Regions from separate parts of the Mus musculus genome. Here region 1 is reported to be linked to region 2. Evidence: microRNA targets listed by miRTarBase, many of them from high-throughput screens and not tested one by one. Region 2 holds a microRNA gene; the other region holds the end of a gene's coding sequence.
Evidence for each region. Region 2 holds the annotated microRNA mmu-miR-3104-3p (ACGCUCUGCUUUGCUCCCCCAGA, at 2,916-2,938, shown strand). A microRNA usually pairs through its seed, bases 2 to 8, with sites in the 3' UTR of a target mRNA and lowers its output. Matches are read on the target gene's strand: a 7mer-m8 pairs with bases 2 to 8, a 7mer-A1 pairs with bases 2 to 7 and ends in A, and an 8mer does both.

Region 1: miRTarBase lists Ndor1 as a target of mmu-miR-3104-3p. Seed matches in the 3' UTR shown: 8mer at 3,814-3,821.

The regions. Positions count from the first base shown.
Region 1 is chr2:25,243,655-25,248,728 of GRCm38, reverse strand. Ndor1 (NADPH dependent diflavin oxidoreductase 1) reads left to right here. Exons shown (of 14, transcript NM_001082476.2): 10 at 1-97; 11 at 244-393; 12 at 489-607; 13 at 675-769; 14 at 875-3,916. The coding sequence ends at 1,019. Rnf208 (ring finger protein 208) reads right to left here. Exons shown (of 1, transcript NM_176834.2): 1 at 4,468-5,074. The coding sequence ends at 4,636. Among named protein-coding and RNA genes, the nearest start is that of Rnf208, 3.3 kb to the right of the region's middle.
Region 2 is chr7:141,989,303-141,994,376 of GRCm38, forward strand. Mir3104 (microRNA 3104) reads left to right here and starts at 2,877; the gene lies at 2,877-2,939. It overlaps Brsk2 (BR serine/threonine kinase 2), which reads left to right. Exons shown (of 20, transcript NM_001009930.3): 13 at 2,938-2,998; 14 at 3,810-4,017; 15 at 4,413-4,461.

The DNA of each region.
Region 1 (5,074 bases), not on the chromosome of region 2:
CAGATCCTTGTGGCTGTGGTAAAGTACCAGACTCGTCTGAAGGAGCCCCGCCATGGTCTCTGCTCCTCCTGGCTAGCATCCCTGAATCCTGGGCAAGGTAAATCCATAGTTCTGGGGCTCGGGGTTGGGAGAGAGTATAGCCTCAAGTGCCCATCTTCCCCTGTTCCTGCTACCCCAGGAGCTCAAGCACTTAGCACCTTAGCACTGTCTTTTGACCTCCTACATGCCATTTCCCTTCTGCAGCAGGACCTGTCCGGGTGCCTCTGTGGGTACGTCCTGGGAGCCTCGTGTTCCCAAAAACACCAGACACACCCATTATCATGGTGGGGGCTGGAACTGGTGTGGCCCCCTTCCGAGCAGCCATTCAGGAACGAGTGGCTCATGGCCAAACTGGTGAGTACTGGAGCTCCAAAGCAGTGTGACCTGACCACTGAGCCTGGTCTAGCTGAATTTCTGCATCCAGACGGGGACCGCCCTATGTACCCCAGGAAACTTCTTGTTCTTTGGCTGCCGCCAGCGGGATCAGGACTTCTACTGGCAGACTGAATGGCAGAAGCTAGAGCAGAAGGGCTGGCTGACCCTGGTTACAGCCTTCTCCCGGGAGCAGGTGAGTATATTCAAGTTAGATAGGACAGGAGTTGGGATGGCTGAAACTTAGCCTCTGACACCTGCAGGAGCAGAAGGTATATGTGCAGCACCGGCTTCGAGAGCTGGGGCCACTTGTCTGGGAGCTGCTGGATGGCCAAGGTGCCTACTTCTACCTAGCAGGGTGAGCAAACTTGGGAATGTCGGGGGGTGGACCAGCCTTTAGGGAAGGGTAGTAGTAAGGGTTGGGAATCGGGATCACTGAGCTTTCTGAGGCCTGCCTTTCCAGCAATGCTAAATATTTGCCTACGGATGTTTCGGAAGCCCTTATGTCCATTTTTCAAGAAGAAGGACGACTCTCCACTGCAGATGCATCTGCCTACCTTGCTAGGCTCCAGCAGACACTGCGCTTCCAGACTGAAACCTGGGCCTGAGGAGCCACTTGCTAGCTCACACTCACATTAACAGCTGCATTGGGTAGCCTGCTGGAGTCTAGAAGGCCCATTGTTACCTCTTGCCTTCTAATCCCAGAACACTGGGTAGACCCACAGTTTCGCTTTTTTGGTCCAGCTGACCAGGAGGGCAGTCCTTGCGTACAGCCAAACTCAGTGGAACCCAGTGTCCCATACGTAGGCCCAGCCCCGGTGCAGCTAGAACTCCTGGTTTTCTCTCAGACCCCTTCATTCTGCCCCAAATCTGCATTTATAGTCCCTACCACCAAGGGCCTGCTAAGCCCTCCAAAGGACATAGAGCTGTGCGGGCTGCACTGCCCGTCTGACCCCGTGCTATTCCCATTAGTCCCATAACACCTGTGCAGCTCAGCTCAGTTGAAAAGCCACCAGGGACCAAGTCTCCTGAGCATTGGGAATGGGCAAATCTGTCTGTCTGCAGGTCCATAAACATGAGTTAACTGCCTGGGTAGCCGCTCACTTCTCTTTTATTGCTTCTAGATTTGAGAGTGGTGGTTGGGACATGGATTATCTGCATCTGCTAGTGGTGGGCAAAGAGCCCTCCAGGGCATGAGCACAGGCTTGTACTGACAGTTTAGCCAAGCTAGTCCCCTTCTCTGATGGCCACACAACTCAGCCAAGCTCATATACCCTTCTCTCATGGCCAAGCAGAGAGGGCTTAGAGAGCTATTTATTTGGAAGTCCCAGCCAAGAGCCAGCATGCACTATTCTTTCCAAAGAACTGAAAGAATGATCAGGTGGAGGGGGTGTGATTTGTGTTGGCCCGCCCATGGGCAGGGCCTCCACTGCTGGGAAGGAAACCCTGTTGGAGCAGTCAGACAGGTCCAAGGGCAGCTGGGCGCTAAGGAACCTCGGTTCTGTCTGTCAGCTTGTGGAAAACAGGGACCAGACCAACACCACTCTTAGGCCTCAGATACCAAGAGTTGACATGCTGCGGGGACCCAAGTGAAGCTTACTTCCAGTGAGGTCAGCAAGCCGAAAGGGTTATCTAGAGGTTAGTGCTCAGGTGGATGGGTGGAGGCCAAGCTCTGCCTGGCTCCTGAGGGCCACACCTTCATATCTACAACAATCCCTGCAGTCATCCTGGAGTCTCCGTCTACGCATCCTGACCTCTGTTCTAGTGGTAACCTGGGACCTAATGACACCAGCTCTGTGTCTACTAGTTCACCCGGTGCTTCTCTGGGTCCTGAGCTCTTGGACCCACTGTGCCAGCTACCAGCAGATGGAGAGGATGATCTCAGGGCCCCTCTGGGTGCCAGAACTCCAGACAGTAAACCGGAACTGGAGGCCAGAGACCCATCCGCTGCCAGGGCCCTGGAGTCAACTGTGGAAGAGCAGGAAGGTGAGGGGCAGGTTGTGGAGGAGGAGGAATGTCCCATCTGTGCTGAGCCTTATGGGCCTAGTGAGCACCACCTGACCCTGCTAAACTGTGGTCACAGCCTGTGTGTGGGCTGCCTACACCAGCTGTTAGGCATGACCCCCAGAGCTGACCTGGGCCGTGTGTGCTGTCCACTGTGTCGTCAGAAGACACCTATGCTAGAGTGGGAGATCTGTCAGCTGCAGGAGGAACTGCTTCGAGCTGATGGACCCCAGCGCCCAATGCGGACTGCATCCGTCACAGCCCTGCATCCTGGCCCTTGGCCCTGGGGTCCCTTAGAGCACCGCTACCAGCTGCGCTTCCTGGCAGGGCCTGTGGGAGGGCGAAGCTGTCTCCCCTTCCTGCCCTGCCCTCCCAGCCTAGGCACCTGGTTGTGGGCACTACGGGAACGTGGCCCCTGTGCCCGCCGCTTGTCACTGCTGAGCCTACTGGTCCTTGAACTGCTCGGGCTGGTGGTCATCTTCATGCCGCTCCTTTTACTAGGGGTGCTCTTCATGCTGCTAGACCGTTCCACCCACTAAGCAGAGCCCAGAATGCTGGCCAAGCTTTGAAGTCCATGCACGCTTGGATTCTGGTAATCAGCAAAGACTTGTTATCACCAATACCAAGACTATACATGCCTAAGAGCCTACGCCAGCCAGAGTGCTTACACACCCTTGCAGCCTAGATATTAGCTAAAGCCAAGGACACAAGGACAGCCTCTGAAGGAGCTTGGCCTGGCAGAAAGAGTTGTGAAAAGAACCCTATGTGCTTGCCATGGGCGGTCATCTCACTGGCCACAGGCAGAAGCTGGGCTATACCGCCAGCTCGTAGTCCAGCTGGTGAGAGTGGACACAAATGTGTGATTCCAACAGTGATTCTGTTTATCCTGAGATCTGTTCATTGGAGAAGGCAAGGGCTGCAGACTCTCACCTGCACCAGACAGAAGCTGGTGTGTGTCCTGAAGGCAACAGCAGCAGCCACAGTAACTACCAGGAGAGGCCTGCACTGCACAAGCCAGCCTTCAAAAGCTCCCACCCAACCTAAGCTACTCTCACCAGAGAAGGTAGCCCAGAGGAGCTGGGATCAATATTGCCTTTGTTTTGCAAGGGCCCATCCAGACCCTGAAGCCTCCAAATGCCCAAGGTCTAGCTCTGTTCCTAGTTGACTCTGCAATTCATGTCACTGGACCAGGAGCCCTCACTTGGGAGATGCAGACAAATCTAAGCTCACTTCATGGCTCATTGGTGACACAATGTAAGGTGTAACATTTCAGGCTGAGTCCTATATAACAAGCATAAGAAAGGCTCTCAGACCAGGCAGTGGTGGCGCACACCTTTGATCGCAGCACTTGGGAGGCAGAGGCAGGTGGATTTCTGAGTTCCAGGCCAGCCTGGTCTACAGAGCGAGTTCCAGGAGGACAGCCAGGGCTACACAGAGACACCCTGTCTCCCAAAAAAAAAAAAAAGTTCTCAATAAACAGTTGTTACTGATTCTATCATTACCTCTGCCATCCTCATTATTACTCCATCTCTGCCATCCAGGCACTCTCCTCACAACCCTTCAATGGTACCTGTTCCAGTCATAGGCAGATCATTTAAAAGACTGCTGGGTCCTTGGTCGTAGCCAACTGTAAGCCTCTACATATGCTGTCCAGAGGCTGTTTCCATACATCCTTGGCCAGAAGAAAAGTACGTGGGTTTTTTGGACAGGATCTCTTTGTGCAACCCATGCCGACTTCACAACCCTCCTGCTTTAGCTTCCAGTGTGCTGGGACTACCAATGAACTTCACCACACACAGCTAAAAGTTCTGTCTCCCTAGCTGGGCCCCATCTCCATGTACCAGTGTGTTCCCAGCTAGTCCAGACCTCCTAAGCAGTACACTCGGGCCAGCTTGCCCTTCCACAAGCAGAGCAAGCCAACCTTGAATGGAGCTGGTTCACCCTCTGGCAGCTCCTGGTTAGACCATGTTGGACTATAGCCTTGGGAACCTACCCTAGGTCCAGGCATGGGCATAGCCCACAGGAGTTAGCTTCAATCAGTGAACAAGTGCAAACTTTGGCAAAGAGTTTTAATGGCAAAGTTGGCTGCAGCGACAATGCCACGCAGGGTAGGGCCAGAAGCCACAGTGGGCAAGAAAGGGTCAGCGGGCAACAGGACAAAGCCAGTTCCCTGAAGAAGCGGCGAGCAAGGACCTGCAGGCAGTAGTGGGCAGGTGGACACTACATGATGGAACAGGCAGATAGTGGGTTCCGCACATGGCAGGTGCATGCAGCTCCACAGTACTGCCGGAAGGTCTGGTAGCAGCTGCCTTCAGATTCACCCCCCCACTGTCCACCGGATGGGGCAGTCAGGGCTTCAGGTGGCAAGCGGCTCAGGATGGATGTGTTGACAGCCAGTGCAGCCAGGCCATAGTCAGTGAAGAGCACAGTCTCACGGTGGCAGGTGGGACAGGAGATGAACTTGTACTTAGGGCAAGACTCATAAAGAATCTGCAGGCACTGCTCACACACGGAGTGCAGGCAAGACAGCACACGGGGCCGCCGTTGAGTGACGTTGTATGTATGCCCACAGGTGGGGCATTCCAGGGGCTCACCTGCTATCACTGGCCCAGACGATGAAGGTGCAGAGGCTGTTGGGCCAGGTCGAATCACATACTGA
Region 2 (5,074 bases):
AGGTGTCCAGTAGCAGTAATGTGGGCAGGAGAGTGCTGAGAAGAAGGGCACTTAGAGCCTGCAAATCTGGGCTCTGGCTGAGTGGAGCACCCTAACAGGCAGGCGGGCTTGGTCATCTGTCAACAGGCCTGAGCTGGGAGATCCCACAGGCCTTGCCCGCAGAGTCAGCATTGTACTCTGCATGAAGCACCCACTGCCCATTCTTTCTGCTGGGAGCCAGCTCTGCCCCTGAATTTGTCAGTAACTGGGAGCCATGTCATGGCTAGGTAGTCATCAAGATAGCACTTCCTCTACCTTGACTTTAGTGTGCTGGTATCTCAGACCTACTAGGTCCTCCCCATGGATCCAGGCTCCCCATGGATCCAGGCTAGCTCATGCTCCAGCCTCAAAGTCTCACTCCTTGAGAAACTTCTCCCAACTTTCTAGCCACCCATGGCTCACAATCCCTTGGCTTCTGGCAACAAGGCGGGACAGCAGGGGTCCCTCTTGGCCATGTTCTTACCTAACCCTTCTCCTGGGTTCTGCCTCTTGTGGATATGCTTCACCTCAGCATAGTTCTCCCAGTAGCTCTAGTGTACACCATGTACTCAAGAGATGGTTGCCTTTCCTTGGCCTCTCTTGAACCCCAAAGGGTCAGTGCTCAGCCCTGAGCTTCCAGACCTATGTGCTGCAGGGTGGGCCCATCTGTAGGATAGTCTGTCTCCAAGGGAATCTGGAAGGCCCTTTGTCCTGGAACATCTAGCCTGCTTCTGCTCTGGTTTTGCCACTTGACACTGGGCTCTGATGGGACCACTGGTGGGGACAAGGGATCCTGTGGCTGGTGCTGAGTCTAGACATCTCTAAGCTTGGCTACCTCCCTACCTGGAAGGTCACCCAGGGCAGGCTGTGCTGTGGCTTCTGTCCCCTTCCTCTCTCTTCATCTCTGTCCCCTGGCTTGGGGTTGGTGGGCCATGCTTGGAGGGCCAGGCAGCACATGGCCCAGCAGCTGACCTGCGTGCGTGTGGCCGGGCAGTAACTCTGTTTTCTCGCTTTGTTCCTGCTGTAGTAAAGCAGTGTTCAGTAAAAGCCTGGATATCGCTGAAGCCCATCCCCAATTCAGCAAAGAAGACAGGTATACACCCTGCCCATCCAATCCGCCCTCCCAGCCCTAGATGCAGGACTCCTGCCTGAGCTCCGCAGACAGAGGCGGGCCTGGAGGCAGGGCTTACTGACAGACACTTCCACCTCTCTTTTCTGGGAATGGAACTATCTAGCAGTCCAGGGGAAGAGCTAGCCTGGGCAGCTATAAGGATGCAAGGAGGGGTGGGGTTGCTGGGGCAAGGCCCATGGCCAGCCCAAGCCAGAGGCCCTCATACTCAAGGCTTGCAAAGGCCCGCAATGGGTACTGCCCTGCACCCTGCACAGACCTGCCTTATGGTTGCAGGCCTGCCACCCCCTGCCACTCTTTTATCCAGATGGTCTTGGTGTTATTCCCACAAGGGCTGGCCAGTTTAGATGAAGTGGCTAAGTGTCCTATGCTCCTGGCAGGTGGCAGTAGGCCAGTAACAGCTGCTGCCCACGTGTGCTGCTGATTAGCTAGGCCACATCCAGTTGAGCTCCATACTGTCCCTGTACCTGCCTGTGCCCCTTCCTGCTTGCCTCTTGCCTACTTGGCTTCCCTCGGGGCTGGAGTCATCTTTTCTACTTTGGACAAATTGCAGCTCAGTTCCAGTATCGCTAGACAGAGAGGTTGATGTGGCTCCCATGCTTATGTCTCAGCTTCCCTTCTTCTTCCCTTGTGCCCAGCAATGTGTTCCTGTCTGGCATGGTGGGATCAGAGGCCTAGACTAGGCCTCACTGCTTGTGGCTGTGTCCCCTCTTCCCTGGCTCCTGGTATCTCCACCCCATCTCCATCTTCTCAGGGACTGGCTCCCAGCTGTACATCTGGACCTTTGTTCCAGTGGGGAGCCCTGGTACCACCCTGACTAAGGCATGCTGCCCTGGCCACGGGTCTCCATTGTTCCTCAGGCTCCTTTAGCAGTAAGTAGAGAGACTTGGAAGTCATGGACACAGGGCTCTAGTTACAGGTGCTCTAGGAGCTGGAAAGGAGCCAACAGAGACTGGTGTTGCCTAGGTGAGAACCAGAAACCCACTGTGTATAGTGTGGTTAGTGGTGGGCAGGCCAGGGCAGTGCAAACTGGTGTAATGCTCTTTCATCCTCTTTTGTCCTGTGGCTGCACCCTACCCCACTCCCCCCGCAAAGATGACAGGTCCCACAGCCAAGGGTGAACCTGTGTTTTTGTGTCCATTCTCATGGTGAGCTGGATGGAAGGCATTGTCTCTGACCTGTGGGGCAGCTAGCTAGCTGTTCATCATGTTATAACGGACACATAGGGGTAGTACCTGCTCCCTGCTACTTGCAGGCTAGGTCTTCAGCCCAGTGGGGCAATAGAGGGTTAAGATGAAGGCTATGGGCTGGCCCTGGGCTTCTCTTGTAGGTAGCTGTGGATGTGAAAGGACTGGGCAAGTCCCATGTAGTGAATCATATACTGAATGCTGTATAGCACAGTCCTGAAGAGGCTGGACTTGGGTGCTGGGGTCATGGACTGCATAAGCCTGGATCTAGTTTACAGGAATCCCCCATAGCGTGTCCTTGCATCTCTGTCCACAGTGTCTGTGGACTTTTGTTGATAGTCACTTAGTACCTTTTCCTGTACCTTGTCCGGGGTCGATGGTGGGTGGCTCCTCAGTGTGGAGGAGCCCCAGGGACCCTGGATACATACTGGGTGGTGACAGCCAAGGTCAGCAGGATGGCCCCAGGACACATCTGTGCCTCTAGAGACCTTCCTCGGCCTTGGAGCTCCGGGTCAGGACCCCACGCTTCCCGGAAAGGCCAACTAGGGGGCAGGAGCCGGAGCCCTCTGCTGAACTGACAGACGCTCTGCTTTGCTCCCCCAGATCTCGATCCATCAGTGGTGCGTCCTCAGGCCTTTCTACAAGTCCACTCAGCAGTCCTCGGGTGAGTGACTACCCTCCTAAGCCTTCACTTACAGAGCTAGCCTCAGGAAATCAAAAGGGACCCCAGTTAGAGAACCCAGGGTGGGGAGCAGGGCCTCCACAGACTGGGAAAAAGCCCCATCTCTGCCTTGCACACAGGCCTCCTTTGTGGGCTCCTCCTGGCTGCTGCTCTGCTGCTGGGCTCTGGCTAACTGCATGTTCTTTTGTTTTGTGTTGTCCGTTTTCTTGTATGTCACTTGTTTTTGTTGTTGTTTTGGTTTTATTTTTTATTTATTTTATTTTTTTGTGGCAAACCTTCCCCATGTCTGTCCCCTCCCTCTGGTCCTGCTTGGGTTTCCTGCTTGAATGCTATCACTGATCCTGGTTGCTATGTGTGCATGTGGGTGGGGTGGGCACGGGCTCCACTTCGCGGCCACCCCTCCTGACGTCACTCTGCGTCACTGTAGCCTGTTAGGAAGTTTGTCCTGCCCCCTCTGCCCCCTGAGCTCCCCTATGTGGCTTGCTCCCTGGCCACCTCCTCGGAGCCTGAAGCTTGTCGGAGCACCTCTCGGCCAGGACACATCCTCTCTCCACAGGCCGCCCTGCGGCCCAACCCCAAGACTCAGACCTTGCCGTGCAAGGCCAAGCTGACAGACAAGCCGCTGCAGGGCACCAAGTCCAACCCGCTCCCAGCCTGCACCCAGACCCAGCCTCCTGGAGCCAGCCTTGGCACTCCACTGGCCCTGTCCCCTGGGCCACCCACCCTGCCGGCACCTGCTCGGCTCCTGCCAACTGGGACTGAACCAAACACCAAATCTGTCCCCACCATACAGGTGACCCCTCACCCCTCACCAAGGGGTAGTCCCCTTCCTACCCCCAAAGGGACGCCTGTCCACACGCCAAAGGAGAGCCCAGCTGGCACACCCAACCCCACACCACCATCCAGCCCTAGTGTTGGAGGAGTGCCCTGGCGGACACGACTGAACTCCATCAAGAACAGCTTCCTGGGCTCACCTCGATTCCACCGCCGGAAACTCCAAGGTTAGCGCTGATATGGGGCTGGGTAGGTGGTGGAATCTGCACAGGGGGTCTTGCACTGCTCAGATGGAACATGCCAACAGCTGGCGGGTCTGTGGGCCTCTCCATAAGCACTGGCCTCTGAATCTGCCCTGTACCCTCTTGTCCCAGAATTGTTCTATCATCTTCTGGGCAGCGAGGCCTGTTGGGTGGTCAGAAAGACTACAGGTCTTAGGCTATGCTGGAGCCAGTTCCTCTGCTCATCTGGGGCCTGGAGAAGCACAATGGGGTTTCAGCACCAGAGCTCTGACAGCAGGCTGAGCAGGGGGGGCGGGGGAGGTGAAGACAAAATGGGCATGGTCCTGAGACTAGAACCTGCAGCAACATCCAACCTTGCCTTTGTCCTTTCCTGTGCACAGTTCCCACGCCAGAGGAGATGTCCAACCTGACCCCAGAATCCTCTCCAGAGTAAGTGGCTTTGCTTGAGGCTGATGAGAGAGGGACCCAGGATTTTTCCCATCAGGCAGGGGATAACCACCTGAGGGCTTTTGGTTCCTGGCCCGAACCCCTTGGGCCTGACTCAGCCCATGAGTGTTTATGAACTTTAGGTTCTGTCCACATGAGAAATGACAACTCTAGAGTTGGCTGGGGACAAGTGGGTGTGCTCTGGGCTTCCCTAGAGTCTAAGGGATCACAGGGAGGGTTTGGACATGAGGAAAAACAGGCTTGTGCTGAGGAAGAAGGACAGCTACAAGATACAGGACCCAGGGAGAGCACTAGGGTTATTGGCAGAAGTCTGAGAAAGACAGAGTAGCTCTAGCCTTCAGCTGGAGGGAAGGGAATGTGGGTGGGCCCAGTGTACCCACCCTACAGACACTGAGGGCCTGTACAGTGTGGCTTCTCTGTACCTTTCACGGTGGCCTCTCAGTAGTTACTTCCTTGGTAGCCACTGGCATGAAAGTAGGAAAACGTCCTATGACTGGGGCAGAGGGTAGGGGAAAGTATTGGCAAAAACCATTGCATCATTGTAGCTGTGCCACCTCACACAGTGGCCAGACAAGAGGAAAGGCCTTGGCCCTGT